2 linked regions of the Stegostoma tigrinum genome follow. The protein of the gene in region 2 interacts with the protein of the main gene of each other region in a biochemical or structural test. Links are inferred from orthologs where the notes say so. Each region holds a gene or a part of one and is shown on either strand. Other genes may lie near its edges.

What was found.
Region 1: the proteins of ret (region 2) and grb10b form a complex in vitro, tested with the Homo sapiens proteins (2 studies listed by BioGRID). The link is inferred for Stegostoma tigrinum from reciprocal best matches to the Homo sapiens genes RET and GRB10.

The regions. Positions count from the first base shown.
Region 1 is NC_081355.1:94,097,527-94,114,028, forward strand, and holds the start of grb10b (growth factor receptor-bound protein 10), read right to left. Parts: upstream 6,299-16,502; 5' UTR 6,149-6,298; intron 6,005-6,148; exon of another isoform or gene 5,852-6,004; intron 5,613-5,851; exon of another isoform or gene 5,404-5,612; intron 2,755-5,403; exon of another isoform or gene 2,682-2,754; intron 2,613-2,681; exon of another isoform or gene 2,498-2,612; intron 1-2,497.
Region 2 is NC_081390.1:21,306,769-21,323,227, reverse strand, and holds the start of ret (proto-oncogene tyrosine-protein kinase receptor Ret), read left to right. Parts: upstream 1-9,796; 5' UTR 9,797-9,976; coding exon 9,977-10,028; intron 10,029-16,459. UniProt on the Homo sapiens protein: Receptor tyrosine-protein kinase involved in numerous cellular mechanisms including cell proliferation, neuronal navigation, cell migration, and cell differentiation in response to glia cell line-derived growth family factors (GDNF, NRTN, ARTN, PSPN and GDF15).

The sequences.
Region 1 (16,502 bases), on a different chromosome or scaffold from region 2:
GCCTTGTAAAAGATGGCAGGCACGCTTTGGGGAGTCACTAGATGCAGGATTCCTAGCCTCTGACCAGCTCTTGCAGACATATTCCAGTTCAGCTTCGAGTCAACAGCAATCCAAAGAATGTTGCTGTTGGGGATTCAGCATCAGTAGCAATGAATGTCAAGGAGCAACTGCTAGATTCTCTACCTTCCTGGGAAATGACATTGCCTGGCAGTAGTGTGGCCTAAATATTACTTGCCATTTATTGGAACATCAATTTAACTGGAACAAAAGTTACAGTACTAGGACAAGACAAATACAAGCACGAAAATTACTGGAGGTCCGGTTTTCAACCGCCAATGCAATTAACAAACATGTCGAAACAGACCCATCTACACACCACTTCAATAACTGCCCACCATGACAAACCAGACCATAAATTCACAGGACAGAACAATGGCGCTTCAACAGTGGCTACATAGCACTAACTGTCACCTAAAAGGGAGCTGAAACGTTTGTATGAAAACCAGTCAGCTCAGCAAACCAACAACTCCAACTCCCTCACAACCATCTTGAGCTCTTGTTGCTCAAAATTACCTTCACTCTTGCCCTTCTTTCTCAGGTCAAAAGGATGAACAGTTGAGTGTACCCAGTATGCATGTGGCTTACTTATCCATCACCAGATCAAGCACTCAGTCTTGTTCTCCTCTACCAGGATGTTTCACTATTTTGCTGGGTAATACCATGTGTGTAGCCTCCGATTAGGTACTGTTGAGTTTTTCCACCAGATGTTTAAACTGTGGTGTCCATTGAACCGAGTTACTTTGCTTTCGTTTTTCCTTCACAATGGAGTATATATACACGGTCTAGCTCTATTTGCTTGTTGAAGGCCTTCTCAGTGGAGAACCAGGCCGAGGAATTGCCATGCTTGTCTCTGCTGGGCCTGTCCCAGGATCCTGGTGTTGTCCCAATCAATTTGGTGGTTTTCCTTCTCCATGTTGTAGGAAATGAGTGAGTTTTTTTTTGTTGCTAGTTGATGCTGGTGTACTTTTGTGGCTTATTTCCTTCCTGTTTGTCCAATGTTATAACTGTCACACACTTTGCAGGGGATCTTGTATATTACGTTGGTCCTGTCCATAGTGGGTGATGGGTCTTTGGTTCGGGTTAGCTGTTGGTGTGCGGTTGATGCAAGTTTGTGTGCTACTCTGATGCCTAGGTGGTCGTAGGAGTCGTAGTTAGTTCAGATGTGTCCATGGTGTAAAGTAGCACAATAAGGGTGTCAGGGGGTGCAGTATCTTCTTGTCGTCGTTCGTGTAATAAGCATCTTCTGACCCAGTTGTTCAGGTATCCCTTGTCATTGAATACTTAGAAGAGGTACATCTCTTCTTTTTGGTGTAGTTCTGTGTGGCTGCAATATATTGTTGCCCGTTTGGAGTAGAGTTTTCATGCAACTTCATTTGTGGGAGTTAAAGATGGTTGCGTTGAAATTCAGGACTTGGGTCAATGTGTGGCTTTCCTGCATACCTTGGTTAGGAATTCCCCATTGGTCCCGCATTCCACCATGACATCCAGGAATGGCAGCCGTTTGTTCTTTTCCTCTTCCTCTGTGAATCTGATCCCATTGAGTGTTGTTTATTAGTTGGTGTTTCTCTTCTAGTTTGTCCATTAATAATGACGAAGGTGTCATCCATGTCTCGTATGCATAGTTTTGGTTGGATTATTAGAAGGGTCATGCTCTTGAGTCTCTGCATCACCACTTCAGCTATTAGTTGGAGATTAGTGATCCCATGGGTGTCCAAGTGATCTGTTCAGATATTTGGCCCTTAAAGTTAAAGTGGTAGCGAGGGCAAAGACCCAGTAGCTTCAGCATGTTGTCTGTGGAGATGGTGTTACTTGGGCCTTGATCTTGTTTTAGTAGTGTTGCTAGTGGTACATCTATCAATGTGACTAGGCCAGCAACGTCAAATTTTACCATGGTCTCACTGTGGTCTATTTTTATATCCAAAATGGAATTGAGGATCTCTTGGGATGAATGGATTGAGTGGGGTGAATTGCTGATGAGGTGCTTTTAGTCTCCTTTGTAACTCCTCGGATAATCTATGTGATAGCATGCCTGGCAAGAAGGCTATCGGTCTAAGGAGTACTTGTGGTTTGTGTACCTTCGGGAGGCAGCAGATTCGGGGGTGGGAGTATTAGTTTGTCCACCAACCAACAAACCAGTTCAGCAAGCCAAAACCCAAGCTACAAATCTACTCAAAACCTTTTATCCTCTTGTTGGTTCCTTCTAGCAGTTATGACCTTTACAATTTGACCAAATCTTGGTGAGGGACTTTGAAGACCCCAGCATGAATATGTTTTGATCTTGAACAAAACCACAAGTTGCTGGAAAAGCTCAGCAAGTCTGACAGCATCTGTAAAGGAAAGATCAGTTAACATTTCGGGTCTGGTAACCATTCCTCAGATCTTGCCACCTACAGTTCTTTCTCCAAGTATAGATTTATTAGCTAATACAGGAACATACTTATTATCCAGCATATTTCCATGCTTGCATTTGACTTGGAGAGACTTCGTAGGGTCTGTGGCTACTGTTGGTGAACGGATCAAGAAATGATGCCATTTGAAAGGAGTGGGTGTCTCTGAAAGTCAACCACAAAGTTATCATGCATGTATAATAAATGAGTAGAAAACTAAAATAGTACACTCACCTCTTCGATAGCAGAAATGGTTTCTGGAATGAGGGAATTCCTTTGAGAAGCCGAGTAGATTGTGCCTACAATCCTTAGAGAGTGAAAAAAGAACATATGCTGGCCTCACTGAAATAATATTCTCAAGGCTCTTGAAAGCGTTGATACTAGGATTATGTCTCCCCTCTATTACATGTTAACAGTCTCAGAAGACAGCTCTGGCCATTCTGAACCGAAGAAGAGAAACTTCGCGTGAAGGGAAGTATATCTTTGAAAATCTGTCTCAGATCATTGAATAAATTCAGAAAAGAAGGAATTGATGTTTGGATATTTAGGAATGGGGGATAGTGCAGCAAGATGGAATTAAGGTGAATCATTCATAATTGAGCATACTTGGCCTTTTTAAAGGAAGGACTAAACAGTTTCCCCTGCTCCTGCTTATATTCTTATGTTCTAAGGCTTCAAATGAACTTATGTCCAAGAAGTGTTCAGCTAATGGAGACAAATGAATGGTTTCTTTCCCCCTATATTTTCAGTATCCAGAAAATTGGCACCCAGAGAAGCTACTTCTGTCATTCCTTTCCAAGCATCACTAAGCTTCACTAATAAACTAGCAGCACTTTTCTGATACCACGTGCTTTCATGATTTTGCGTCAATTCTGCATAATTAACCTCTGAATAATCTTTGTGCCATAGAGATTCACTGAAGACAAGTAAAATGATAACAATCACACAATAGCCACTGTTGGGCCAAAGTTCAAACTCCATTCTAAAATATACCTCCTTTCGAAGGTGAGTTTTGACAATGAGTAATTAGGCCAATATAGTCTATAAAACTCAGTGAATGATTGTGCTTTTATGATAACATTTTAAGAAAGAAAACCTAAGCATAGTTTCACAATCACTGAATCTTTAGCTGCTCAGGACTATTCTAGTTGCACCTCATCTCACAAAAACAGTGAACATTGAAACAGGGAAGAAAGAACAACAGGAAACAAAACATTCCGAAGAGATATTGTTAATTTAAAAGTTGTAATCTATGAAACATTAGCCAACCTCCATACATTGTTAATTTTCAACCATGCTGATAAAGCTACATTTTCAAATGTTTTCTTGACTAGTTTTGAAGAGTTACAACACTCAACTAAACCTTTCTATCATTAGTTTAACTGGTTAAATGTCTTAGAAGGATACCATTTCGTTTAGCTAATCAAACACTTAACAGATATAATTCTTAGATAGACAATCTTTACCAGTATGGCCACAACACAATAAAACCAACATTATAACTTCCACATTGCCAACAGGACCGTGGAACCTCAAGTGTTTCAAACCTTGTTTTTCCATAATTCCTCAGGTAATGGCTTGGTTGAAAGTAAGTGACAATTGATTCTGCTGTTCTCCCAACCCAACGTGCAATGCAGGAACAGATTAAGAAATACTTTTCAGGCCTTTGAAAACAATTTCCCAAATCTTCAAGGTCTTTACCATTTCATTCTTGTATTCTCATTTGCTTGTTTTGAAATGGAAAATAATTCTTGGCAAGATGAGTAAATAAGCACTTTTTTTAAAAAACAGGCAATCATGTGAAACGGTTTGGCTTCACTACCTTGAATCAATAGTTCCACAATCTTATCTAACACTGCCAATCTTCACTTTACTTATACCCACCCCCAAAACAAACCAAGTACAATCAATCGAGAGAAAGTAGACCTGACCGCTTGAAACGTCGCTTCATACAGGTCAGACATTTTTTTTCAAAATGCAATTACAAATACACATCCTTTTCTTCATTAACCAATCAGACAGTCTGAATTTCAGCGATACCAAGTTTCACCACTCCGTATTTAAAAATTGACATTTTACGCTTATCCATTCCAACCTTTTGCAGCTAATAGCTACAGTTTGACTTCGTTTGGAGGATGTAAGTATCAAAAGCTGTTTTCCACCCAAGTGGAAGTGACGTTAACATTTTTTTTAGGAAAAAAGTTGCTTCTTCATTTGCTGTAAAACGCTGTTACAGTTTCCGCAGGAATGTACAATCTTTGAACACCACACACGAGTAAGGAAGGCAGATTTTCTCAGCATTATCTTCGATGTCACCCAAGCAAATGCAAATATTCAGCGGCTTATTTAACCCCACCATCGTCTCATTTTTGGAAAAGTACCCAAAAGTGGTCTCCCTCACTACTCCAGAGTCCATACTTTCCAAACTCTGTTTAAAGGGATAACTGCGGTATTTCAGATTCAAGAGGCCCTACTCCGGTCCCGATTAATGAAGAGATGAGAATGCTTTAGCATAAAAAGTTCTGACAGAATACCGAGCAATTGAACTTTCTCACGTAACTCGTTCCGTAGAAGCTTACAATCGAATGTAACCGCGACACTTAAAGTCAAAAGTTTATTTTTTTAAAAAATGGCTTGTGTGCGCGCGCGTTATACTTGTTTAGACGAAGATGATCTAAGGTTTCCAGCTCCACTGGACACCAACTGTACCTCATTGCGTACGTGCACTGACCACAGCGCCTCTTCATCCCAAATGTTTGTGATACAAGCTTTAAAACACCCTTCACCACTACCTTACATGGTGCACACCAATAACTGGACATTACCCCAATGCACCAAAGAAAAACACTTTCCAACAGCTCCTCTCCTCCCAGGCACGAACACAAGACCAATACACGCGAACAAATCATTCACGAGGTAAGGTGGGGAAGCAAAGATTAGGGAAAGGAACACTTACTTCAATCTTGATTGCTAGTCCTGCAAAATGATAATTTTACTTTGCCCCTGCTCACCGACGAACTAATTGACTCTCTTAACAACCCCCCTCTACTTCCACAACTCTCTCCCGCAGTAACTCCTCCTCAACGCGCGTGCTACAGACACTTTAAAAAAATGGCGACGCCTCGCCTGCGGGTGCGCGCACAATCCCAACTTTTTGTTCCCGTCCCACACACAAAAAAAGGAAAAAGTAACTGCCGCTGCGCGTGAACGCACGCGGCTGAAACACCCAACCCCGCCCGCACGCTCGCTCGCGCGCCAACACAAACTGCCCAGCCCCTCCCCCACAGCGGATCATAAACGAATCGCCCGTCCGGTGCCCGAGCGGCCTGTGGCCGTTAGTAACACGCGAGCGGAGCCGACTCGGAGCAACAAACGGAATGAAAGTGTCTCCGAAATTTCATCACCTCAAATCCCTAGTCCGTCAAAAATCTCCTTGTACAAAACTCCCGCATACGAATATTGGAAGAGACCTGGTGATCGGATGAATTCTCTACCTCCCACCAACCGTCCCCCCTTTCTGTCCGTACCCACATACAACTCGTGAGAAATTAGTCAACCTGACTCGTTCACATGCTTAAAAACCGAGGCACACAGGGTTAAAACTCGAAAGCTTTCCTGATTGCCTTGTAAATTACGAGTGGTGATGGTGCAATTTTGAAAGAATACGTAAAATGCAGTGTCCAGACGTCAGCATCGCCTACCTCCTCGAATACTTGTGGTCGGCCGTAGGTGTAATGTAAAATTTCCTGTGTGCCCAGATCAAGATTGTGTACGTATATGGTTATTGTCGCTGAGCTCCATGCTTTAGTGCTTCCCTGTACTAGTTCACTTTAATAGGGATGACTGGCCTTTCAAAGGTTGTAAATTATTATTTTTTCCGCGCTTTGCCTTTTCTCCCCCTGCAAATTTCCGGTCGAGTTGTGCACGCACATGGCAACACCGCAGGCATCCTCTTGAGAAGGACTTTCCTGGAACAGCCAAGCATATTGACTATGGGACAGCAATCGGCTGCCAAAAAGGGACGGCGGCACTCAGGCTTACCCTGCCTTTAGAGGTCTTCCTATTCAGCTGAGCCGTAAAGTTTCCACTCGTGTCCAAAAGTTTATACCAAGCCATAACTGATCATATTTGGAGAAGCCTCCACTTTATTGGCCTTCCCATCTCTGATTCTCACTTTCTGAACACCCCAGAATTCATCTTCACGGAGGTTATTTGTCTTTGATGCGACAGTTTTTCCGTTTTACACAATTGCCTCGCAGACTCGCCCAGTTTAGCAGATTGAACAGTTCTCCAGCAGTCGAGGAATTACTTACTGCCAGCTATGGTCTGCTCCGCTGACGTCCATAGTTGATCCAGAAAGACGCTTATTAGCTGTTCTAATCTCAAAAGCAGATGTGTCTCCATCTCGTCAACATTTAACAAAAAAGATAGACCAAACAAAACCGTTCGCAAAAAGAAATACATGAAGTAAACTAACTATACATTAAAGAGAGCTGATTGTTGTCTTGTAAAAGCACGATAGAAGGCAGTGTTAAAGATGTGTCGATTTCACTTCACAGGAAGGTCAGTAATAATATCCCGATCAAAGCATTGATTGAGACAGGGATAGGTAGCTGTTAGCAACTCAAAGAGCTAAATTAAGGATCGCAGTTTTGATAAGAATACATTGTGCGGTGATGTTACCAAATAATAAAGCATTATGGAAATATACTTGGTAAATTTGAATTCGCGTACTCGGCTATTAATATGATCTTTGCCAGAGTTCCGCATAAAAACTCTTTTAACTGTGCTTTTAATTTATGTCCAGCACTAGTTGTCCTCAGCACTGTTAGATTTGACAGCAGAAAAATCGCAATTCTGTAACGTCTTGTGGAAAATGTGCGTGCGAGAATATCAGGAGAGAACAGAACCAGGTTCAAGTGTGATGCCGTTCGCAATGGAATTATCTCCACAGACCCGCTGCGTGGGCTCATTAGATTTAAAAATTACTTAGAATGTGAGCTACCTGGTGTTTCCTTTAGGGGAGGAGAGGAGACTTCTTAATTTAAATTCGTAAGCAGTTATATTTTCAGAACCAAATCAATTTTTTTTAAATGTTATAACGACGAATTTAGAATTTGGTGTTCCAAAGACAATTAACTTCTTTACCAATAAAGTTTAGATTATGAATGGAGGACTCGGTGACAGCAATCAAAAATGAGAAATGTTCTGGTTTTAAAAATGATTGTTTGTAAGTTATTTTAAAACTTTTTTATGGAATGAAACGATATCAGGAAAGCTGCTCCATTTATTCTTTTGCCTCCATTCCTTAAAGTAAGTGAGTACCGTGCTCAGAGAATCGTGAGGGGCGTAGATATAGTGAATGGCAAGGGTCTTTTCTCCAGGTTGAGGGAGTTCAAAACTAGAGGGCACAGTTTTAAGGGGAGGGGAGAAAGTTTTAAAAAGGACGTGAGGAGCAACGTTTTTACACAGAGAATAGTTCCTGTGTGGAATGAACTGCCAGAGGAAGTGGTGAATGTAGGTACAGTTACAATATTTAAATAACGTTTGGATAAGTACATGAATAGGAAAGGTTTGGGACAATACGGGGCAAATTCAGGCAAGTGGAACTAGTTTTGAACATGGTTGGCATGGACTAGTTGGACCAAAGGATCTTTGTCCATGTGGCATGACTCTATAACATCTGATGTAAGAAAAAAATAATTTGGAGCACACAAGCAGGAGATCTTATGGTTTATTAAAAGTGTCAAATATCTTAATTGTTTCTCAGTAATATTGTTATTTAACACTTCCTAGCCTCATGAAAATAAATATCAATGATTTAATTCTAGAGTTAACTGAGTAAGTTGGCTGTACTAAAATGTATTGATTTTACAGAAAAGGTGACTGGTCAAAGCCACTAACAATTACGTGAAACTAATGAAAGTGCATATGTCATGATAATTTTTTGAATGTGTTTTCTTTCATTTCGGACTAATTTTCTTTGGGTATCATTTGTTTTTATTTTGTTTGGTTCAGTTGCTTGAGCATACTTTTATCTTTTAAATTAAATCCCAGAATTAATATACCTGTAAAATGAGTACTTTGCCAATTCTTTGCTGGAAGTTAACAATATATGCAGTATAAAATTAAAATAATTTAGTTGAGATCACTAACCTATCACAACAAGTCCATTCACTAAAATGCTGCTTGGCCTGCTGTGTTCATCCAGCTCTATACTTTGTTATCTTGGATTTTCCAGCATCTGCAGTTCCTATTATCTCTCCCATTCACTTCCAAATGTGAATAAATCCTGTGTCTTAGTATCTTCTCCAAGAGCTTCCTCAATACTGACATCAGGCTCACTGGCCTATAATTACATGGATTATCTGTGTTTCCCTTCTTAAACAAAAAGGAACAACACTGGCCATTCTGTAGTCCTCGTGTGAGGCCAAAGAAGATGCAAAGATATTTAATAAGGACCCAGCTATTTCCTCTCATGCCTCCCACAGTATCCCAGGATAGATACCATCTGGCCCTGGAGACATGTCTACTTTAATTCATTTCAACACTTCCTCCTTCATTATGTTCATCTGTCTGAGAGTATTCACATTCTATTCCCTAACCTCATTAACCCTCACCACCCTCCCTTTGGTGAATACCAATCTGAAGCACTCATTAAAGATCTCATCCATTTCCTCAGGCACCACACATCCCCTGAGACAGTAAGAACTGCCGATGCTGGAGTCAGAGATAACACAGTGTGGGATAACAAAGTATGGAGCTGGATGAACACAGCAGGCCAAGCAGCATCTTAGGACCACAAAAGCTGATGTTTCGGGCCTGGACCCTTCATCAGAAGCTGGAGAAACACAACAGGTCAAGCAGCATCAGAGGAACAGGAAAGCTGACTTTTCAGGTCGGGACCCTTCTTCAGAAATGGGGGAGGGGTAGGAGGTTCTGAAATAAATAAGGAGAGGAGGGATGGGGCAGGGGAAGGTAGGTGGGGTGGTGATAAGGAGTGCAGATAGGCAATAGTGGGGGTTGGTCAGTAAGGTGGGAGGAACAGACAGGTGGGGAGAGAAGACAGACAGGTCAAAGAGGCAGGGATGAAAGGTAGGTGGGATGGAAATAGGTGAGTGCAGGTAGGCAATGGTCGGGGTTGGTCAGTGAAGGGGGAGGAATGGATTGGTGGGAGAGAAGATGGACAGGTCAAGGAGGCAGGGATGAGAAGGAGGGTTGGTCATGGGAAGATTTTGAAGCTAGTAAAGTCCACATTGAGACTACATCACACATAACCTCCCTCCTTTATCCATGAGTGGGCTTACTCTTTCCCTAGCTACCCTTATGCTCCGATTGTATGAATAAAATGCCTTGATATTCTCCAAGCTAGCCAAGGACATACCATAACCCCTTTCAGCCCTCCTAACTCCCTGTTTGTTCTTTTTCCTATTTTCTCTATATTCTTCAAACTTCCAATATCTTTTTACTGGAACTGTCAGAACTCCAAAAAGCAATAGAGACAATACATATATATCCCAAGGTTAAGAAATTGTGCTGTTCAGAAATCATTTAATGCTTCCTTACATGAATTAAATGCAATTGATGATGGTGATCCTAAGTAACATTGTCATCACCTTCTTGAATTATACTTTTGTAGCTGTGCCAAAAAAAGGGTCTGGTGGGTTCTGGCCCCTTCAAGGATGATTTTGTAATAAAGACACATGTAAAACCACTCAATCATTGCACCTTAGTACCATAATGTCTGTTTTGGATTAAAATGCTGAATTTCTGGTTCAAGTGGTGAAAACTAAACAATGTGAAAGATATCTTTGATTCAACTTTATCAAACCTATTTCATCATTTATATATGCAATTCCTTGATTGAAGTCCATCTTTGCGCTTGATATCCAGAGCCCTTGATCCATGGAAGATAACTGGACTGTTTTTCCTCATGACAAATTGTTTAGTATACTTGCAAAATGTAGACTCAAGTAACCATGCCTACTATTGCATTTTTATGCCAACATACAGTTTCTCCGTCCTCCAGCCAATTTCATTTTATTTCTTTACAGCATTTCTCTGGAGAAACCAGCACAGAATGAAAGAGATTTATTCAGCGGACTCCCCACTCTATATCTCTTTTTCCACGTCAAGTAGACAGCTAACTTCTCAATTCCTTTGAGAAAATCTTTGAAAAGCAAGTTCTGTTCAGTAGGATGCCTAATACCAGATGTGTATTATCAATGGTGCCCTATAGACTACACTGAGTAATGTAATTGAATGATTTTTTTATTCCTCATATCTAGTCAGACAAGATTCTGTCCATGACATCTCTGAGACATCCTTTCTCTGATGTTCTGCAATGTTCTCTTTAATCAATATTGCTTCCTTTTGTTCCTTTCTTATCTTTCTCAAACATCTTGTATTCAGCAATATTTAATACCCAGTCCTGGTGTTCCTTGATCCAGGTGTCTGTTATTACCATAACATCACATTTCCATGTGGCTCTCTGTATCTTCAATTCTTTCATCTTATTTAACACTCACTAGGCATTCTCACATGTACGGACTGTGACCCTGTGACTTTATCACTTACACTTTTAAGTTGAATCCACCAAACAGCTTACTATTTCCTGCTCTTATATTATCTGCCTCACCCAATATTTTTTGCAGATTGGCATTCTTCTGGTTCTCACACCACTGTCAAAATCGTTTTTTCTCTCCAATAAGACAAGTAAATCTTCCTTCAAGGAATCCTTTGGCTTCCCATCTTCCCCCAAGACTGATCCCTATGTCCCAAAAGACTTAAGCCATTCAGCCTCTCCCTGTTGGCACTATTTTGAAATTACATCCAAGATGTCAACAGCAGCACATAGGAAGTGTTTGGGCCTCTGAGCCTATCCACTCCAATCACCAGGCCAGGCACACTTTTTTTTGTCTCTTCCTTTATGTTTCATAACAAACTCCTTTGTATCTTCTTTCTGCAGCTGTGGTGGATGAAGAGAACAAAAGATGAACTTTGTCTTAATTATTTATATTTATATTTATATTTACTATAATTAAAATGGCACCAGAGTATGATGACAAACAATTTTAACTGTATTTTTCTAAGTACAAGTGACAATAAATTACTATTACTGTTATCTCTTGAGCTACACATGTGTCTGCACTTTTCTTCTATCTCTCCATTCACTTACATGTGGTAGCATAAGTAATATGAAAGTTGCTACTTTAGAGGTACTGCTGGTAATTTCCTCCCTAGCTCCATGAATCCTAACAGCAGAACATTTATCATTCTTTTTATGTCATCAGTATTAATATTGGCCACAACTGCTGGTTGTTCACTCTCCTCCAGCAGGGTACGCTGTAACATCCAGTGACGACCTTGACACTGGCACCATCCTGGATTTTTGGATTTGTGCCACTGGCCATAGAAACACTTATCAGTTCTGCTGACTGTTGAATTTCCTATCACTATTACTGTACCAGTCTTCTTTGTGCCTCCAATCCCATACAGCAGAGCCTCTAATGACTTGGCCCTGAATGCACTACTAAGATGGACCATTCTTTCATTTCTATTCAGAATTGAATACTGTTGGAGATGCATTCTGGGAACTGTTGACTACCTGTCTATTTCTTCTTGACTGGTGGTTACTGATTCCTTCTTCTTAGAATTGCTCTTAAGCAGCAGGATAACTATACATATAAGTGTGCTATCTACAAATCTCTCAATTGAATGGCGGTGCTACAGTGATACCAGATGCTGTTAAAGCTCTGAAGATCAAACTGCTGCATGTGATGACACTTCCTTCACTTATGATTATTCACCTCTCAGGAAATGTCTTGAAATTCCTACATGGACCAGGATGTCTACTTCAGGAGTTGGGACTTTCTGTTTCCTCGATATTTTAGGTAATAAAGCATACTATTTTTTAAAAAAGGAGCTCGCCATTTCTTCACGTCTCTTGTCACCTAAATATATGGAGGCTATAAAAATTTAAGCTAATTACAAAAATCAAACTTTAAATTTTCCAAATCCTTAGTCTAACTTCCTAACTTCGAAGAAAGGGAAAAATGCAGAATACTCAATAATCAACTCATCGCATTCCTATGATGTCACAGTTTGATTTTTATTTTCTTTCTCTAACTTTAGAGATCCTGTTCAAGTCTGATCATGACACACTTCACAATCTATCTGGTCTGCTTTACATTCCTTCCTGTCTGCCTCAATGATCGTGACTTGCTTAGTATTCCTCCAAATTTACTTCACAGTCATTCACAGTTTCATTTTATGTGCTTTAAAGTAATTCTGATTGCAGTACGCTCAATCTGGTCAACTTCACGGTAATCTTGATTTATATGCTATACTCGTAAGCAAGCTGCTTCAGGACAAATATAATATTTGTATTTGCCTTTGAATGTGTAAAATTGTCTAGGTATGTCCTGCCCACAATAAGCATATCAAATCCAATCTGGCCAGTGAAAACCCCCATCGATCCACTCTTGACCATCAGGAAATTGATTGAAGGTGTCAATGTTTTTGACAATGCTGTTAAGTGGCACTTTACATAGCAATATCTGAACATTGATGCACATGTTAGGATGTGCTTGGATCACTCACTATGCTCCCCAAATCTGTCCACATCAATAAGGCAAAATTCAGGGTGTGATGCAATGATCCTCACTTCTTTAAATAAATATGACTCCAATATCGTTAAACAGACTGTCCATTACCAAAGGTCAAAGCAACATGCTTAGCCAGTACCTTGTACGTCAGATCAAATGTTCACTCCCCTCACCACTATTACATTGTGACAGAAAAGTATACATATACAAGATGACCTAGAGGAGCTCATCAAGTCTTCTTGACAACACCTTCCAGACTTGCAATCTTTACTAACTAGGAGGACAAAAATAGCAGACAATCCAATTCATCACCCAAGTTCTCTTGCAAGCCACACACCATTCTGGCTCGAAACTATAGTGCTGTTCCTTCAAAAGAACTAGGTCAGAAACTTGGAACTGCCTCCTGAACAGCACTGCAGTTGCAGATACACCAACTATGTCATCAGTATTAATACTGGCCACAACTGCTGGTTGTTCACTCTCCCCCAGCAACAGTTGAAGAAAGAAGCTCATCTTCACCTTCTGTAGGGCAATTAGTGATGTGCAACAATGCTGGCCTAGTCAGTGACACTTGTATCCCGTGAAAGAATAAGAGAAATGATGACAGCTTACATGATCTGTTCTCAAATAGACTATTTAAAGAGCCAAACACCTGAATGATGTACATGTATTATAGATAATGGGAACTACAGATGCTGGAGAATCCAAGATAACAAAATGTGAGGCTGGATGAACACAGCAGGCCAAGCAGCATCTCAGGAGCACAAAAGCTGACGTTTCAGGCTTAGACCTTCATCAGAGAGGGGGATGGGGTGAGGGTTCTGGAATAAATAGGGAGAGAGGGGGAGGCGGACCGAAGATGGAGAGAAAAGAAGATAGGTGGAGAGAGTATAGGTGGGGAGGTAGGGAGGGGATAGGTCAGTCCAGGGAAGACGGACAGGTCAAGGAGGTGGGATGAGGTTAGTAGGTAGGAGATGGGGGTGCGGCTTGGGGTGGGAGGAAGGGATGGGTGAGAGGAAGAACAGGTTAGGGAGGCAGAGACAGGTTGGACTGGTTTTGGGATGCAGTGGGTGGAGGGGAAGAGCTGGGCTGGTTGTGTGGTGCAGTGGGGGGAGGGGACGAACTGGGCTGGTTTAGGGATGCGGTGGGGGAAGGGGAGATTTTGAAGCTGGTGAAGTCCACATTGATACCATTAGGCTGCAGGGTTCCCAAGCGGAATATGAGTTGCTGTTCCTGCGACCTGCGGGTGGCATCATTGTGGCACTGCAGGAGGCCCATGATGGACATGTCATTGAAAGAATGGGAGGGGGGGTGGAAATGGTTTGCGACTGGGAGGTGCAGTTGTTTGTTGCGAACCATTTCCACTCCCCACCTATACTCTCTCCACCTATCTTCTTTTCTCTCCATCTTCGGTCTGCCTCCCCCTCTCTCCCTATTTATTCCAGAACCCTCAGCCCATCCCCCTCTCTGATGAAGGGTCTAGGCCCGAAACGTCAGCTTTTGTGCTCCTGAGATGCTGCTTGGCCTGCTGTGTTCATCCAGCCTCACATTTTGTTATCTCTGATATGCATGTATTGCTGTCTGTGGACACAGATTGCATCAGTAAGTGACGAGTCAGATTTGTACTGAACATTGCACAATCATTAGTAAACTTTCCCACCTCGATTCTTAGAATCATACAGTATAGAAGAGGCCCTAGGCTCATTGAGCCTGCATTGACATAAATTATTCTGAATCTACACTTTGCAACACTTGGCTTAGAGCCTTTAATGTTATGACATTTCAAGTGGTTATCCAAGTCCTTTTTAAAGGCTGTGTGATTTCCTGCCTCAACCATGCTTTCAGACAGTGCATTCCAGATTCCCACAACCCTAAAAGAAAATGTCCTCAAATTCCATCGAAACCTTTCATGTTAAAATTATGTCCACTTGTTATTGACCCTCCACCAAAGCTGCTTTCTATCCACCCTGTCCATGCCCCTCATAATTTTGTACACCTCAGGAAGGTCCCCTGCCTTCTCTGCTGTAAAGAAAACAATCTGAGTTAATCCAGCCTCTCTTCATAGGTAAACCACTCCATCTGAGGGAATATCTTGATGAATCTCCTCTGCACCTCCACCTGTACAATCACATCTTTCCTACAGTGTGATGACTAAAACTACACACAGTACTCCAGCAGCAGCCTAACCAAAGTTTTGTACAAATCCAATATAATCTCCTTACTCTAACAATCTGTTCCATGGCTAATCAACACAGGTGTCCCATATGCCTTCTTAATTACCCTATTAGCCTGGCCTGCTGCTTCAACTATCTGTGGACAAGCATCTAAAGATCTGTCTTTTCCTTTGAGCTTCTTAATGGCCTGCCATTCATTGAGTACTCTCTTGTCTCGTTACTTTTTCCAAAGTGTATCACCTCACATTTATTTGTTAAATTTCTGTCTTCCAGTGATATGCCCAAATGACCAATCCATTTGTATCCCCCTGTAACCTAAGACCTTCCTCACTGTCAAGTACCTGACCAATCTTTGTGACATCCACAAACTTGATTATTCCCACCACCCACTCCCTCATTTTCTTCTTTATTTTATATATAAGGGACACAACACTGATTCCTGTGATATGCAATGCACACTGACCTCTAGTCATACAAGTATTTTACCACCATACTCTGTTTCCTGTCACTAGTTTGCCGAGCTACTCTGGATCCAGTGTTCATTTTTTGCCTTCTTTCATTGTCCCTTCCATTTCTGACCCTACAAACAAGACAGTTGATAATTGATGATGCAGCTGAAGATAGTCTGGCCAAGGTCACTGTGCTGATGAATTCCAAATACTATACTAAACAAAACAGTCTACCTGATTGGCACTACATTCACAATCTTTGCATGATAGTAGAAGCATGTTTTAAGCATGAAACACTGCGGTAACTTAGCAATGCTCCTTTGAAGCAGTGATGTCCTGGGACTAAGGTGATCAGCTTCAAACAACTATAGTCATCTTTCATTGTGCTAGGTATGACACCAATCAATGGCTCAATACTGGAAAGGCAATGGGGCCTGACAACACAGTTTATTTTCCATGATTCAAGTTAAATCCAGTTTTACTCAAGACCCTTGATCCCACTGTCAGTGAAATGCTACCTTGGTGTCATTGGCAGTCACTTTTATGACCTCTTCCCAGGTTTGAACCAAACTTGTAATGAAGCCAGGTGCTAACTGGCCCTGGTAGAACACAAATTGAGTGTCAGTGAGCAGATTATTGCTGAGCAAATGCTGCTAGATAGTACTGTCAACAACATCTGTCCTGATGATCAAGGGTAGACCGATGAGGCAGTGATTGGCCAGATTAGAATTACAGTTATCCGACAATTACAGACAGGATGCAGCTGGGAAACTTTTCCATATTGTCACCTAGATCCCGCAGTTATATTGTACGGAACAGCTTGGT
Region 2 (16,459 bases):
ATTTGGGCAGTTCTTAATTTTACAGTCAGTACAGGCTTTGTAGATATCACATTGCTGCCTTGATGTAGCATCCTCGCCGTTTGAGGGTCAATAGTTAGGATTTATACCATAATACTACAATGGCTCATCATTGGGAGACAGGTCCAATATGGAGATTGAGCCTAGGCCATTGGCGGTATTGTACTGTAATGAACTAACTCCCAGATATCACATAATAAAAAACAAAATAACTGCAGATGCTGTAAATCAAGAACAAAAACAAATGTTGCTGGATAAGCTCAACAGGTCTGCAGCATCTGTGACAAAAAAAAATCAGAGTTAAAACTGAGGAAGAGTCTGAGGAAGGGTCACTAGACCTGAAACGTTAACTGATTTTTTTCTTCACAGATGCTGCCAGACCTGCTTAACTTTTCCAGCAACTTCTGTTTTTGCTCCCAGATATCACATACCTTTCTCTATGAACTTTGCCCATAAGGCAGGGAAGAACTTCTGAGCTGTCTCAGCAAAATGAACATATCATGAATTCTGAAACAATTTCCATGCTAAAGTTTCAACATGAATGTTGCATTTTATAATAAATTTAGTAATAAGATGTCATTGGATATTTAAGGCAAACATGGAGCTGCAGCAGGTGGTAAAGAAGGCTAATGTTACGTTGGCCTACATCGCGAGAGGTTTTGAGTACAGGAACAGGGTTGTGTTGTTGCAGTTATACAGGGCCTTGGTAAGGCCTCACCTAGAATATTGTGTGCAGTTTTGGTCTCCTTTACTAAGGAAGGATGCTCTTGTTCTTGAGAGAGTCCAGCGAAGGATTACCAGGCTGATTGGTGGGACTGACATATGAGATGAGATTGACTAAGTTGGGATGTTTTCACCAGAGTTCAGACGAATGAGGTGGGGGGGGGGGGTGCGGTTTCATGGAGAGTTATAAAATTCTAACAGGACTGGACAGGGCAGATGCAGGGAGCATGTTACCGATGGTGGGTGTGTCCAGAACCAGGGACCACATGTGAGGATTCAGGGTGGATGATTTAGGAGGGAGATGAGGAAACATTTCTTCACCCAAAGTGTGAATTCATCACCACAGGAAGTAGTTGATGTCAAAACATCAAGTGTATTCAAAAGGCAAGTAGATATGGCACTTTGGGCGAATGGGATCAAAGTTTATGGGGAGAAAGCAGGATTAGGCTATCGCCTTGGACAATCAGCCATGATCGTGAAGAATGGTGGAATAGGCTTAAAGGGCTGAATGGCCTCCTCCTATCTTCAATGTCTCTATATGTACGATGTGAATTTCTCTGGTTGGGCCAGCATTTATAGCCCACCATTAGTTGCCCTGGACAAGATGGTGGTAAGGTGCCTTCTTGAGCTATTGCATTCTATGTGCTATGCGTAGACCCGCAATGTTGTTCGAGAGGGAATTCGGGCATTTTAACTCAACAACACCGAAGAAACAGCAATATATTTACATCAGGATGATAAGTAGCTTGAAGGGGGACTGTTTCTTGTATCTGCAGTCCTTGTCTTTCCAGATGGTTATAGTTGTGAGTTTGGAAGATACCATGGATGGAGCCTGGGTGACAGAAATTATGAGCGATGATTGCTGCTATATTGCTTATCACTCATTTGGATATTTAATTTTCCATAGTATCTTTTGTTAGATGCTTGCAGAGCAATACAGTCTGTGTTTGCACTGTTTATCCATTAGATTTTTTTCCAGGTGGTCTGCTATAGCTAGAAGTCTAACACATGTAATGCAGGATGTGTAAGTCCCACCACTGTGAAATGATCTTTGTCAAGTGTCAAAACTGTCACAGGTGAATGCAGCCAATGACAGACACAAACCTCGTTCACATATCACATGAATGGCCTGGCAGGAAACCTGCAATTGATGGTGTTCCAATGTATCTGCTGACATTGTCCTTCTAACAGGTAGGGTGGTCATGGGTTTAGAAGGTGTTGTCTCAAGGGTCTTCATGAATTTCTGCAGTGCATCTTGTAGACGGTGCTCACTGCTGTTACTGAGCGGTGGTGATGGAGGGAGTGAATGTGCAGTTGGTGCTAATCAGACAACCACCACCTTCTTCCATTGTGCTAGATATGACTCTAACCCAGAGTTGGACCTGACTCCTAACGTATCTACGAACATATCAACAAAGAACAAGAGAAGACCACTCAGCCCTTCGAGTCTGCTCTACCATTCAAAAGATTATGGCTGATCTGACATCAACTTCAACTCTACATTTCTGCATATCCCCGATAATCTTTCAACCCCTTGCTGCTCAAGATCTATCTATTTATCTCTGCCTTAAAAAATATTTTAAGATCCTGCATTCACCGCCTTGAGGAAGGGAAATTCAAAAACTCGTAACTATCTGAGAGAAAAGAAAGTTTCCTCATCTCTGTCTTAAAAGGTTGACCTCTTATTTTTAAACTCTGACCCCTGGTTCTAGATCCTCCCTCAAGAGGAAACATCTTTCGACATCCACCAGGTCAAGTCTCCTCAGGATCCGACGTGTTTTGGTTAAGTCAACGCTGAGTCTCCGAAACACGACAGGATACGAGCCAAGACTATCACATCTTTCCTCATCAAGCAATCAGCTCATTCCAGGTATTAGTTTAGCAAACCTTCTCTGACCTGGTTCTAATACATTTACATGCTTCCATAAGTATGGTGATTACCACTATACACAATACTCCAACTACACAAACTGAAGCAAATAACCTCACTGCTCTTACATTCAATCCCCCTCACAATAAATCATAATTCTCTATTACTGATTACTTGATCTAGCTACCTGCTAACCTTTTGAGGTTCTCGTACTAGGACACCCAGATTTCTCTGAGCTTACAGCTCTGCAACCTTTCACCATTTAGATAATATGCTTCTTAATCATTCTATCTGCCAAAATGGAAAATTTCACTTTTCCACATGGTACTATTTGCCAGGTCTTTGGCCATTCACTCCATTCAAGTAACCTATCTATATTGCTATGTTCTATATCTCTTAGTAGGTTCCTTGTGACCTGTTCACGACTCACTTTCCTATGTGCCATCAACTGTCATAACTTTGATTCCCATCAACCAATTTATATAAGTCGTAAAGAGTCGAGACCCCAGTACTGTCCCCTGTGGCACACCACTTGTGCCATTCTGCCAGCTGAAAAAGACACGGTTACGTTTACTCTTTAGTTTTGTTGGGGCTCCTTGATACCACACTCAGTCAAATGCAGTCTTGATGTCAAAGGCAGTCACTCTCAACCCATCGCTGGAATTCAATGCTTTTGTTCCTGTTTGAATTGAGGCTGCAACGAGTTCAGGAGCCTTGCAATGCTGGCAGAACCCAAAGTGAGCATCAGTGAGCCGACAAAGTCAGTAGTTAATAATTGAGGCTATAATTAACTTTTGCTGCCGTCATAGCTACTCCAGACCAGAACACGTGAGCGAGCAGGAATCTGTTTACTCTTCAATTGTGAAGAAACCCATATTCCCTTTTAATTTTCTAATCAACTGTTCAGAATTACTATCACTCAACTCTGAAGCAGGTTGAACTTGAACCCGGCCTTCTGGTCCAGAGATCGTGACACTACCACTGGGCCACAAGAGCTGTGAAGCCCACATTGATGCTTTTGATTCAAGAGTGGCTTCAAGAACAGGATGTGAATGGTACACTGCTGCTTATTTGTTTTACGGGTCCACACCACCTTTTCCCCATTGGATGGCCTTTTGTCCTTTAATTAATAATTAATTGTGATGGATTTTGATAACAGATGATCAGTTTTAATGCATCAACTCTGGAATAAATGTCTTTCTCCTCCTATTCTCATGTTTACTCTCATTCACTTAAAGTGCATGTCACCCAGATTCATTGTGGTTTTATCTTTTGAATTAAATCTCATTGATGTAAAATGTCAACCGTATCTACTTAAATGTTGGATTGAGATAAACATTCCCTCCTCATTCCTGATAAATCTGATCTAAAGTGGACTGCAATGAAATTATCTACCAACCCCCTTCCAGTAATCTGCGTACTCCAGTTACTTCTCATTGCCCATCATATGTGCAAGTTCAGAGTTGAGTAAAGTCAGCCCCGAACATACAGAAAGAAAGAACCACTTGCATTTAAGCAACAATTTTCACAACTTTGGGACATCCCAAATTGTTTTACAGCATACTTCTGAAATGTAGTCATTATTGCAATTATGAAAATGTGGCAGCCCATTTTCACACAGCATGTTCTCACAAACAGAAAGGTTATAATGACCAGATCATCTGTTTTAATGGCCATGGAAAACTGCACCTTGGACACTGTGGCACTCCTCATGCTGTGGTATGTCAGCCTAGATTGCACAAACCACCCAATCTCTAACTAAGAGACACCCGATAATGTCAAAACACTGATGGTGAGTTTTAAATTAATATGCGAACCACCTACTCGCACAAAGTTAAAAATCAGGCTCGCTAAAGTTAGCGCTTTGTCTTTTAGCAAGTGGAATGGGAGCTGACAGCATGGGTTTGGCTCGTTTGCGATGCATCTCATTTGGAGAAAATCCAATTTATACATGGCTGTCCTTTGCTTTGCTGAAAATTCCATTGTCAACTGATTGGAAATTGCATTCTTTGCAGAGCCTCCCATGACTGTGTCTCTCTTTCTGTAAGAGAAATAGCTTTGAAAAGCAGTAACAGCCAATCTAAAATGCTGAGAGAGACAGAAGTTTTGAAATGAAGCCCCTGCTATTTAACATACCAAAAGAATCAAAAGACAATTTCATATGAAAAATCAATGACCGCTTTGAAATGTAATTTTGAATATCCTCTAAATTGTACTACCTCTCAGTAATAGACTGAGGGGAAGGCTTTTGGTTGAAAAATTGGTGATTTAATTTACAAATCTGATCAATGTCTTACTTCTACGAAATTTGCATGCATCAAAATTGTAATGAATAAATCCAAATCAAAATGAATTAACTGGTATGTTGCGTAATTAAGTGGATGAAATTTGAACTGAACATTGATAACAATGAATATATTTATAAATAAATAACCTTGTTTAAAACTTGAACCAAAGTGAAACAGATTTGGTCAGTGTGACAGTCAGATGTACAGAATAAAGTTCTCTTGGCCTTGACCATTTATTTGCAATTTCTTCCAAAGCCTATACCAGCTTAATGCAATCTGCAGTTCTCTAACCATGGCGTTTTGTGTTTATGTAAATCACCAACATTAATATCAGAGGCATCAGCATGTCAGTCTCCCAAACTAAACCTTCCTCTTCTCGCTCCTGTCTCACAAACAAATACTTACCCATTGTTTCAACCAAACCATTTATCAATTTTCTTCCACAATTCCTTCAGCCCCTATTAATGTCATTGTCTCCTTGCCTTCAAATTCTCTGGGACATTTTCTAAGTTATTGCTACTCATTGTTGACATGATGGTGCCTCAATGTCATAGTTGAACTGTGCCAAACAGATGGTAAGCACTGTTTTTAATTATTAGCAATTAACCCATGTCATTACAAACATAGAATTGTGATCTGATATATTGTTCATTTCATGGAGTGGAGAGGTAGGCGGGGCAGGGGGAAATGATTAAACTTGGCACACAGATGTAATTTGATCCCACTTTGAAAAGAAACATCCTTTTTAGGTGATTATATATTTTCAGACAACTTTTCTGGTGGGAAATAGTCAAAATTCAAATGTTGGGTGCATCATTTTACCTTGTATAGCATGTGCTCTTTGGATGGAGGGTTAATCCAGTCCTGTTGAAATAGGAGATAGTTGGAACTGCCGATGTTGGAGAATCTGAGATAACAAGGTGTCGAGCTGGATGAACACGACAGGCCAAGCAGCATCAGAGGAGCAGGAAAGCTGACTTTTCAGGTCTAGACCCTTCTTCAGAAGAAGGGTCCAGACCCGAAACATCAGATTTCCTGCTCCTCTGATGCTACTTGGCCTGCTGTGTTCATCCAGCTCGACACCTTGTTATCTCTGTTAAAATAGCACCAGTGGTATTCTCTGAGCAGTGTGGCTGACATCATCCTTTAAGTGACACCATCAGAAACCGGTTTATCTGAACACTTTCTCATTGCTGCTGTCGGGTTCCTATTTCCAATCAGTTATTTCCTGATCTTTAAGCAGTTCGAATCACTCCAAGACTCCTGGTTTGTGACACTGGACTTACGTGGGGAATGTGAAATGAAGAGGCAGGAAACAGAGGTTTCAGGGCAAAAGAATCCCTGTGCTTATCTAAAATACAAAAGCTAATTATAATGCAAGAAAATAGGCAATACAATAGATCAAAGAAACGGGTACAATGAAGTATGGTAGGAGAATAGTAGTAGTTTAAATCCACTATCAACCAGATTAACACTATTTTGGGGGATAGCAAGATGTGGAGCTGGATGAACACAGCAGGCCAGACAGCATCAGAGGAGCAGGAAAGCTGATGTTTCGGGCCTGGACCCTTCTTCAGAAAATTCCATTTTGTGGGATCTTGCTATGCATAGCTTGGCTGCTTTGCATGCCAACAGAAAGTAACTAGATATAGAATATACACCCATAGCCAGTGAAATTACTCCATATTTCCTCAGCACATGAAAGCTGCTACATGTGTGCAAGTTCTCTCATTCTTCTAACAAAACCTTAAATGTAGTAGAAGCACAAACAATGTGTGTGGAGATTTACTGATTTGGGAAGAAATCCATTCCTGCCGATTGACTTAACAGTGACTTATGCCGTAGATATCGACAATATGTGAGAAGCAATGAGATCAGGGAGTTGTAGTTACACTGCTGGTTCACATCGCTGTCAATTGAAACATTTACTGATGCCTGTGCAATTCTATTTGAATAGACAGGGAGCTGAAGAAATCAGCTACAGGAGTAACCAATTGCCAATACCAGAGAGCAATTGCCATAACATCAGAAAATTAAACTTGAGTAACGGTTAGAGAGTGTGCGCCATGGAATCCCTAGAGGCCAGTAAGGGGCCAGGTCTGCACCAACCCTCTGAACAGTATCCAACCCAGACCCCAAATCTATCCCCCACCACCCTCCATCGACCGTGGCTAGCTCACTAGCCTAGCCTGCATACTGCTGGACACAATGGGTAATCTAGCATGGCTAATCCACCCAATCTGCGCGTCTTTCGACTGTGGGAGGAAACCAGAGCACACGGTGAAAAACCATTGGGACACAGAAAATGTGCAAACTCCCCACAGTGGCCTGTGACTGGAATCACACCCAGGTCCCCGGTGCTGTAAAGCAACAGTGCTGAGCCGCCCTCGTTGCTAGACTTGCCTATTTCACTGGCTGGTCTCCCCCATTCTAGTAAACCTGATGCTGTCCAAAGCTATGATGCGTGTGTCCATCCGCCCACAACACCCCGTGGTTGCTGACTTACATGCTTCCTTGGTAGAAGTAACACTTCCATTCTAAAATTCTCATCTTTGTTTTCAAATCTCTCCATGGACTTCTCCTGTGTGTCTGCAATCTCTTCAGCCCTATGGAGTTCCTGGCACTCCTGCAATTTTGGCCTATAATGTCAATAATCGGCTGCCCTGCGTTGATTTATAATGCTCCTCTAAAAAAAAGAGCTTCGGAGACGTTTCATTACGTCAAAGGCGGCGGGTAAATGGAAATTGTTGTAAAGTCATTGGTCAAACTTCACGTTTACTGACCCCAGTGCATTGAAGAAGAAACTAACTTCCATTTTGTTTTTCAATGTAAAGTCGACTATTTCATACTGTAACTATTCTCTGGTAGGAAAGTTAATGCAAGCATTACTTTAACCGGTCGGAGTTATACTGTTATTTGTAGCCACTGAAAATGGGTGAGTGGCAGCAATAAGCCACAATATTGAGCTTAGGAGGGGAGCTGTGTAAGAGAGTGCAGAAACGGGGCAGGGCAATCTCTGAACTGTGGTTTGATACATTCCTTGCGTCCACACCATTAGCTTAATCTAACACTGTCCATTCCCCACTGTGTGAAAAGCAAGGCAGCTTAGTTGTACTGTAGACAGGACACGCGGATCTGCAAATGAACAGACTCCCTATTCCGATACTATTCACTTATCATGAAGCTCATCACGCATCCATGTGACTTTTGAAGCTTTCCTCACTTCTCGTTTGTTCTGTTTTTGACTGGTTTATACGTTTATTTTTTCCTTTAAGTTTTCCATTAACCAACCCCTTCAGCGATAGATATTTTTATAATCAGCCTGTTCAGAGTTGAGATGGTACACAGCCACAATTAGAATTGTACCCCACACCTTTCTAACTGAAAACAGAAACCGACTGTGCCATCACGGTTTGTGGATTGGACGGGGATGGTTCCACAATTCACTGACTCAACAACTCTCTCTCCCCTTCCGCCCAGCCCCGAGTCCTTCAGAATTAGTCTAGCCCCCTCTCTGAGTCGGGAGTCCCTGGTGAAGTTGCAACTTTCCGCTCAGCTCTCGTACCGAGACTTCACCCGGCACTGACTCAATCCCAGAAGTTCAGTGAAAATCAGTTTAGGAGAGGGCTGGGTTAACAGTATCCTCCCCTAGGACTAACTCCCTAAATCCCCCATTATTTATTTTCAGGGTACTCCTCGTTCTCTCTCTGTTCTGAACGCATGCTGGACCCGGAAGTGTTAGCTCTGCTTTTTTTTCTCTCTCTTTCCACAGATGCTGCCACACCTGCTGAGTTTCTCCAGCATTCTCTGTCTCTCACCATCTCCCGAGTCGGGTTTTCACACATATCACCTCCACAAATTTAAAAAAAAATCCCTGCAGATTTACACTCCTCTCCCCCAACAACTAGCCCGTTCGCTATGGAGCTGGCCAATGCTTTATTTTAACCCACACTCTGCCGCCTGCTGTACAGAAACGGGGTGTATTGCTGTCCGCAATAATGGGAACTGCAGATGCTGGAGAATCCAAGATAACAAAGTATGGAGCTGGATGAACTCTCTGATGAAGGGTCTAGGCCCGAAACGTCAGCTTTTGTGCTCCTGAGATGCTGCTTGGCCTGCTGTGTTCATCCAGCTCCACACTTTGTTATTCTGGATTGCTGTCCGCTTTGTCCTGGTCAATAACCCCCAGCCCCCAGGGTCTTGGACCGAAACATCAGCTTTCCTGCTCCTCTGATGCTGCTTGAACTGCTGTGTTCATCCAGCTCTACACTTTGTTACCTCACTGATGCCTTCCTGCTTTCAGAAGCAGTACAGTAATCGTGCATGTGATGAAATTAACACGAAGCAATGTTGATTTGAATAAAGAAAGGGTTTTACTGAAAACAAAAAAAAATTGCTGGAGATCACAGCCGGTCAGGCAGCATCCGTGGCTTTACTGCTTCTAAGATGCTGCTTGGAGTGTTCATCCAGCTCTACACCTTATTCTCTGTTATCCGCGGATGTACTTTTTGTTTTCAGCAACTGCAGTAATTTGCCACTAAACTGCTTTGAAGTAACTTCGATAGAAGCCTTTGGACTCGACCCATTGACCCTTAACAGATCAGGCTTTGCTGATTTTCTGGAGTACTTTTCTTTTTTAAAACAAAACTTCAGATCTTGAGCATTCGCAGTATTTTGCTTCCAACTTAAATTTTAAATACTTTCAGTTCTCACCCTCAACATTGTGCTGGATCATCGCCTCTTCATCAGCCGCTGACCACTGCCCCCCCCCCCGGAACAGGATTTCCTCATCTTGTGCTGACCCACAGCGTCACCACGAGTCTGGTTGGAGAATTTCGAGCTGTCGCCTCGAATCTCGAATTAACTCTCAGCATCGACGACCAGCCGGAGAGTAATTGTCTCCTGCCAGGATCAGGATGGGGGCAGTGTGAGGGAGGACAGAGAGAGAGAGAAAACACACACACATCACTTCAATCCATCCAGACCCAACCAAAAAAAACAGGCTGGATACCAGAAGGCAGCTTGTAGCTGGGAGAGAAAAAGAACTCTTTGAACAGCCCTTGAAATAGGTGAAAAGATGTTTTCGCTGAAGGGTTCTTGCACGTTATTGGTCCTTTTGCTTAACAAAGGTAAGAAGATTTATATAAAGAGTACTGGAATAGGGGGTGAAAAGTTTATTCAGTTACACTGCTCTGAAAACTGCAGAAGTGAATGCTTTTAACCTCGGATTGCAAACTTTGAAATGTTTTTTCCACCGCACACTGGCAAGGATTTTAAAACAGATTTTTGCAGGGGATTTTGTTCATTTTTTGTTAGAAAGACAAATGTCATGCATTCTTCTGTTGTAATGCAAAATGTAGAAGTTCCTTAGGCGTCAATTAAGTGGAAGTTTCTGATTTAACTCACCACGTAGTGAGCACTAAGTGGAATAAAAGAGATTGTGCAAAGACAGAGAGATACAACGTGCACGTGTGTGTTGTGGAAGCAAAAAACATAGCGTCTACGGCTCCTTTCTTTCCCCTGGTTTGCGAGCTCCCTCCTGCCTTCCTCGGTGAACCATAACGGAACATCAGTAACAGTCCCCTCTGGCCGCTGGAACTCAGTTACCGGGGTCGGGAGAGCCAACCGTCCCGCTGATGTAAAAAAAGGTGGTTTATATTTTTCGTTGGCTGTGTCAGTTGAAATATAACCAGGCACCCGTCCTTTCAGCGCTGTGTAAAATAGGGATGAAAGTGTTTCCATACGTGTTCCATACAGAGCGTGTAATCAGATTGCGAACTCCTCTCCCTCTTCGGTACGAATGATGTTTCTTGGAAATGTTACCCTCACCAGAGCAATGATTTTCACTTCAGTAAGTGGGACTGGATTGCCAGTAGCGGCGAACTGTGTTATCAGCTCTGTGTCAAAACAGGGAGGTGTCAGCGTCAATGCTTGCAAGTATTGGAAATTTGAACTAAAACAAATCAAACTACTGGAAATACACAGCAGGTCAAAGGAAAGAGAAAAAGATTTATGTTCGGAGTCTTCATCCGTTTGTCTGAATAGCTTTATTGAAGATTCTACCACGCTAAACACATTTGCTAACTTCTGTGAAGGGGCCTACTTATAACAATTTCTGAGTATTTTAATTAAAGTAAGATATCATTTGAATTCTCAGAGTTGCCTCGATCCTTTTATCGGAGGAGGCAATATTATGTCAAAGCATGTTACAGTGATGAGTTCATTAATGTACTGTGTGACCTCAGAAGGATTTACTTTCAGGGAGCAGTGTTGGATATTAGTAGCTGGGTATCTCAATGATACAGTGAAAGAATCCCTGCATTCCAATACTGTTAAAAATTCGCTCTTGAGTGTGTCAGATGGAATCTATATTGATGATGATGATAAGGAGTGAGAGGTGTGGATTGTCTGTTTGTGACTGGAGCTTGTGTTTCATGTAGATTGAAGAGGGGACCTTGTATCAATTGTGATGTCCTGGAGCAGACATTTCCAGGTTTTGCTTTGTGAGAGATTATGGTAAAGCAGCCAGGTTTCAGCTGGTCTAAAGGGTGTGGGAGAGAGCATACCACACCCTGCTGTTATGTACTGATTTTAAAAAATTATTTTCCTGTGAGCATCCGATATTGCTTCAGAAATTGGGGTAAATGGTTCCTGCAATAATTTGTCAAAATTTTCAAAGAGAATACTTGGAATGGTGACACTCCCTCCACCCTCTCCAATATAAAGGGATTATGGAAGTATCACAGTGAGGTTATTTATCTAGAATGGAGTTTTCAACACAATGGACTGGGCATTGTTTATCATCAGCGGTCTTAAATATGAGATTATTTACGATCACACACAAGGCCATCAGTAAGAGAGAGGACTTTGCATTTGTATTGCATCTTTCAAAATCACTGGGTCTCTCCAAAGGCTTTAACACCAATGGCATACTTTTAAAGCATCATCACTGTTGTAATATAGGATGCACTGTAGAGGATATATGCACAGCAAGATCCCACAAACAATAGCAAGATGTGGCCAGATGATCTGGTGAATTTTTTGCAGTTAGAGTTTGGGGTATGGGAGTTACATAAGCACCAGGGCACTCCCCTGTCATTCTTTGAACAGTACAGTGAGGTTTTACATATCCATTCGAGAGGGCAAATGGAATGCACAGCCAGCTCCTCATCCAAATGCTCGCTGGTGTGGAGGTCAAATCCAGATGCTGTAGTTACCATTAAACTAGGGCTGACAGCATGCCACCAGCATCCATCACAAGAGAAAACTCTGCTATGTACCCCACACAAAAAGATGCAGCAAGTCCACATGGTTAAAAAAAAACACAAACACAGATTCACAAAATTGTTTTGGTGCATAAAGAGGCCCTTCAGTCCATTGTGTCTGCAATGGTTCTTCGAGCAAGCATTATCAATTTGTGCAAATCTCAAATCAAATTATGCAAACCTCCTGCCTTTTCCCCATATCATAACAATTACCTAGGGCCACCTTGAATATCTCACTTGAATCTGCCTCCACCATTTTTCCAGGCAATGAACCCTAACTGCTCACTGTGTGAACACTTGGTTCTCACATCATGGATGTACCTGCTGGAGAAGGAGCAAAGCTTGATCTTCTCTTGGGAAATAAGGCAGGGCAAGTGACTGAGGTGTCAGTGGGGAACACTTTGGGGCCAGTGAGCATAATTCTATTTGTTTCAAAATATTTATGGAAAAGGAAAGACCTGATCTAAAAGTTAGATTTCTAAATTAGAGTAAGGCCAATTTTGATGGTACGAAGCAAGAACTTTCAAAAGTTGATTGGAAGAGGCTATTTGCAGGTGAAAGGACAGTTGGAAAGTGGAAGGCCTTTTAAAAATGAGATAGTGACAGTTCAGAGACAATATGTTCCTAAAGGTTTTGAGATGATTTGTAACTAAAGTTGTGGATGATGTTGCAGAAAACCTGACCTACAAATCTTCTCAAAAACTTTAAACACCTGCCGGCATAACAACCCTACTTGGCTCACAGATGGGAGACAAACGCCATCTGTCTGAGCGCGACCTGCGAACAACTACACTTCCTTCATGAATGCCTCAGAAAATCTGCAACCACAGTATGTTGCTGGTAGGGTTAAGGACAAGGCTGGTAGGTGTAGGCAACGCTAGATGACTACAAAAATTGAGGCTCTGGTCAAGAAAAAGAAGGAGGTATATGTCAGGTATAGAAAGCTGAGATTGAGTGAATCCCTAGAGGAGTATAAGGGCAGTAGTAGTGTTTTTAAGAGGGAAATTAGGAGGGCAGAAAGGAGACATGAGATTTCATTCAAAATCAGGTTAAAGAGAATCCAAAAATATTCTACAAATACATTAAGGACAAAAGAGTAATTAGGGAGAGAATAGGGCCCCTTAAAGATCAGCAAGGTCACCTATATGTGGAACTGCAGGAGATGGGTGAGATACTAACCGACTGTTTTGGGATCATTATTTACTGTGGAGAATGATATGGAAGCTAAATAGTGATATCTTGAAAAGTTTCCATATTACAGTAGAGGAGGTGCTGGATGGCTTAAAACTCATAAAGGTGGATAAATCCCTGGTACCAGATCAGGTGTATTCCAGACCTTAGTGGGAAGCTAGGGAAGTGATTGCTGGGCCCCTTGCTGAGATATTTGTATCGATGATAGCCACAGGTGACTTGATGGAAGACTGGAGGTTGGCTAATGTGGTGCCATTATTTAAGTATGATGGTAAGGAAAAGCCAGGGAACTATAGACCAGTGAGCCTGATGTCAGTGGTGGGTAGGTTGTTGGATTTACATGCCTTTAGAAAGTCAAGGACTGCTTAGTGATAGTCAACACATCTTTGTGTGTGGGAAACCGCGTCTCACCAACTTCAGTAAATTTTTTGAAGAAGCGACAAGGAAGATTGATGAATGCAGAGTGGTAGATGTTATCTATATAGGCTTCAACAAGGCATTCGATAAGGTGCTGCATGGTAGACTGGCAGATGAAATTAGATTACCCAGAGGCAGCTAGCCAATTGGATACAAAATTGGCTTGAAGGTAGGAGACAGAGGCTGGTGGTGGAGGTTTGTTTTTCAAACTGGAGGCCTGTGACCAGTGATGTGCCACAAGGATCAGTGCTGGGTCCACTGCCTTTCATCATTTACATAAATGATTTGGATGTGAACGCAGGAGATATGGTTAGTAATCTTGTAGACGACACTAAAACTGAAAGTGTAGTGAACTGCAAAGAAGGTTACCTCAGAGTACAACGGTATCCTGATCAGATGGGCCAATGGGCTGAGGATTAGCAGATGAAGTTTAATTTAGATAAATGTGAGGTGCTGCATTTTGGAAAGGCAAATCAGGGCAGGACTTATACCCTTAACGGTAAGGTCCTGGGAACGTTGCTGAATGAAGAGATCTTGGAGTGCAGATTCATTGTTCCTTGAAAGTAGAGTTGCAGGTCGATAGGATCGTGACAAAGGCATTTGGTATTCTTGCCTTTGTTGGCCAGCGTATTGAGAATAGGAGTTGGAAGGTCATATCTGGCTGTACAAGGCATTGATTCGGCCACTTTTGGAGTATTGCGTGTAATTCTACTCCCTTCTGTAGGAAGGATGTTGTGAAACATGAAAGGGTTCAGAAAAGATTTACAAAAATTGTGCCAGGGTTGGAGGGACTGAGCTATAGGGAGAGGCTGACTAGGCTGGTGTTTTTTTCAGGAGTGTCGGAGGCTGAGGGGGTGATCTTATAGAGGTTTATAAAATCATGAGGGGCATGAATGGGGTAAATAGGCAAGGTCTTTTCCCTGGGTTGGGGAGTCCGAAACTAGAGGGCATTAGTTTAAGATGACAGTGGGAAGATAGAAAAGGTCCCTAAGGGACAACTTTTTCACACAGAGGCTGGTGTATATATGGAATGAGCTGCCTGAGGAAGTGGTGGAGGCTGGTACGAATACAGCATATAAAAGGCATTTGGATGGGTACATGATTAGGAAGAGTTCAGAGGGATATGTGCCAAATGCTGACAAATGGGACTAGATTTATATAGGATATCTGGTTGGCGTGGATGAGTTGGACTAAAGGGTCTGTTTCATTGCTGTACATCTGTATGACTCTAACTATACAGAGTACCCATGCTTCATCAGGGTTGCATGAGCACTTTAGTTCTGAAGTCATCCTCACGTATACACCCATTTTTGGTCAGAAGTACTTGTGGAGGCAGCTAATAGGCTAATCACTAACAAACTAACTGACCATTCACCTTATTTATTGTGAGTAAGATCTCACCGGGCTCAGAATGACTGGCTCATTGCCCTACATAACAAAACCCACTGTGCTTTGAACTAATTCATTGTATGTGACATGATGAGGTGGTATAAGTGTTTTACTCATTCATGGATTGAGTGTTACTGGCTAGTCCTGGATTTATTCCCATCCCTACCTGTGCTGGAGACGGTGATGGTGAGCTGCCCTCTTTAATCGCTGTACGGTTTATGTAGATACCCCTCATGGTACTGTTTGGAACTGTCAGGATTTTGACCCGATGCCAGTGAAAGAACAGCAATATGTTTCCAAATCAGGATGTAGTGTAGCTTGTAGGTAAGCTTGGTGGTGATGGTGTTCCCTTGTGGCAGTTCTTCGAGATGATGGAGGTTAGAGGTTTGGAAGATGCTGTGGAAGAAGCCTGGGTGGGTTGCTCTACACATGTCAGCTTTTCTATAAGCAACAAAGCCACAAATGTACTTCATGACCTCAGTCTGCATATCCTCGTCCAAAAAATGTTTTGCATTTTTTTGACTTGTTTAAACACTTCCGGAGTTGCCATTCGGAAGTTGGCTGTGAAATACCTGACCCATTTCATGATACCATAACAATGTGAAAATACAGTACTATTTAACAGTTAAAGGGTAAAATGTCAGTGATTCGTTCTGTTTTTAAAGACCTCAGAAAGGTTGCATTTGTATATACATCTCCAATAAAAATTCGGTTCCTTTAAGTTCATTGGCATTGCGTGTTTTTTGGCTCGATCAGTATGACTCCTGTCCATGTGAAAATTGTCTGCTACGTTTGCTTACTGAGTGAAAAGTGAGGCTTACAATTGCATATTTTCATTGTCAGGATCAGTAACGTAGCTCAAATTGATTTTACCAGACATCGAACAATTGAAAAGACAAGTTATAGCCTCAGTATTGAATGGGTTAACTGGTTACAATTATGTAAAAGGAGCAGCATTTTTCTCGTATAGGTCACTACATGCTGAAAACTGGACAGTTAAAATATGTGTGTGTGTTATTTGTGTCTGTGTATCTGTTGTGTGTGTGTGTGTGTGTGTGTGCGCGCGCGCCCGCGCCCTCCCTCCTTGTGTGTTTGTCTCTGACTGTTGCCTGTGTCTGTGTGTGTATCTGTTCTGTGCGCATGTTATGAATGTGACAGATTAATTCCTGTTAGGTGGTCAGATTTAGAAATGGGACCCCTAAATCATTGTAGAAAATCGTGGATTGTTTACCCTATGTTCACAACTTCATAGAATCATACAGTACAGTGAGGCCCTGCACCCCATTGAGTCCTGACCC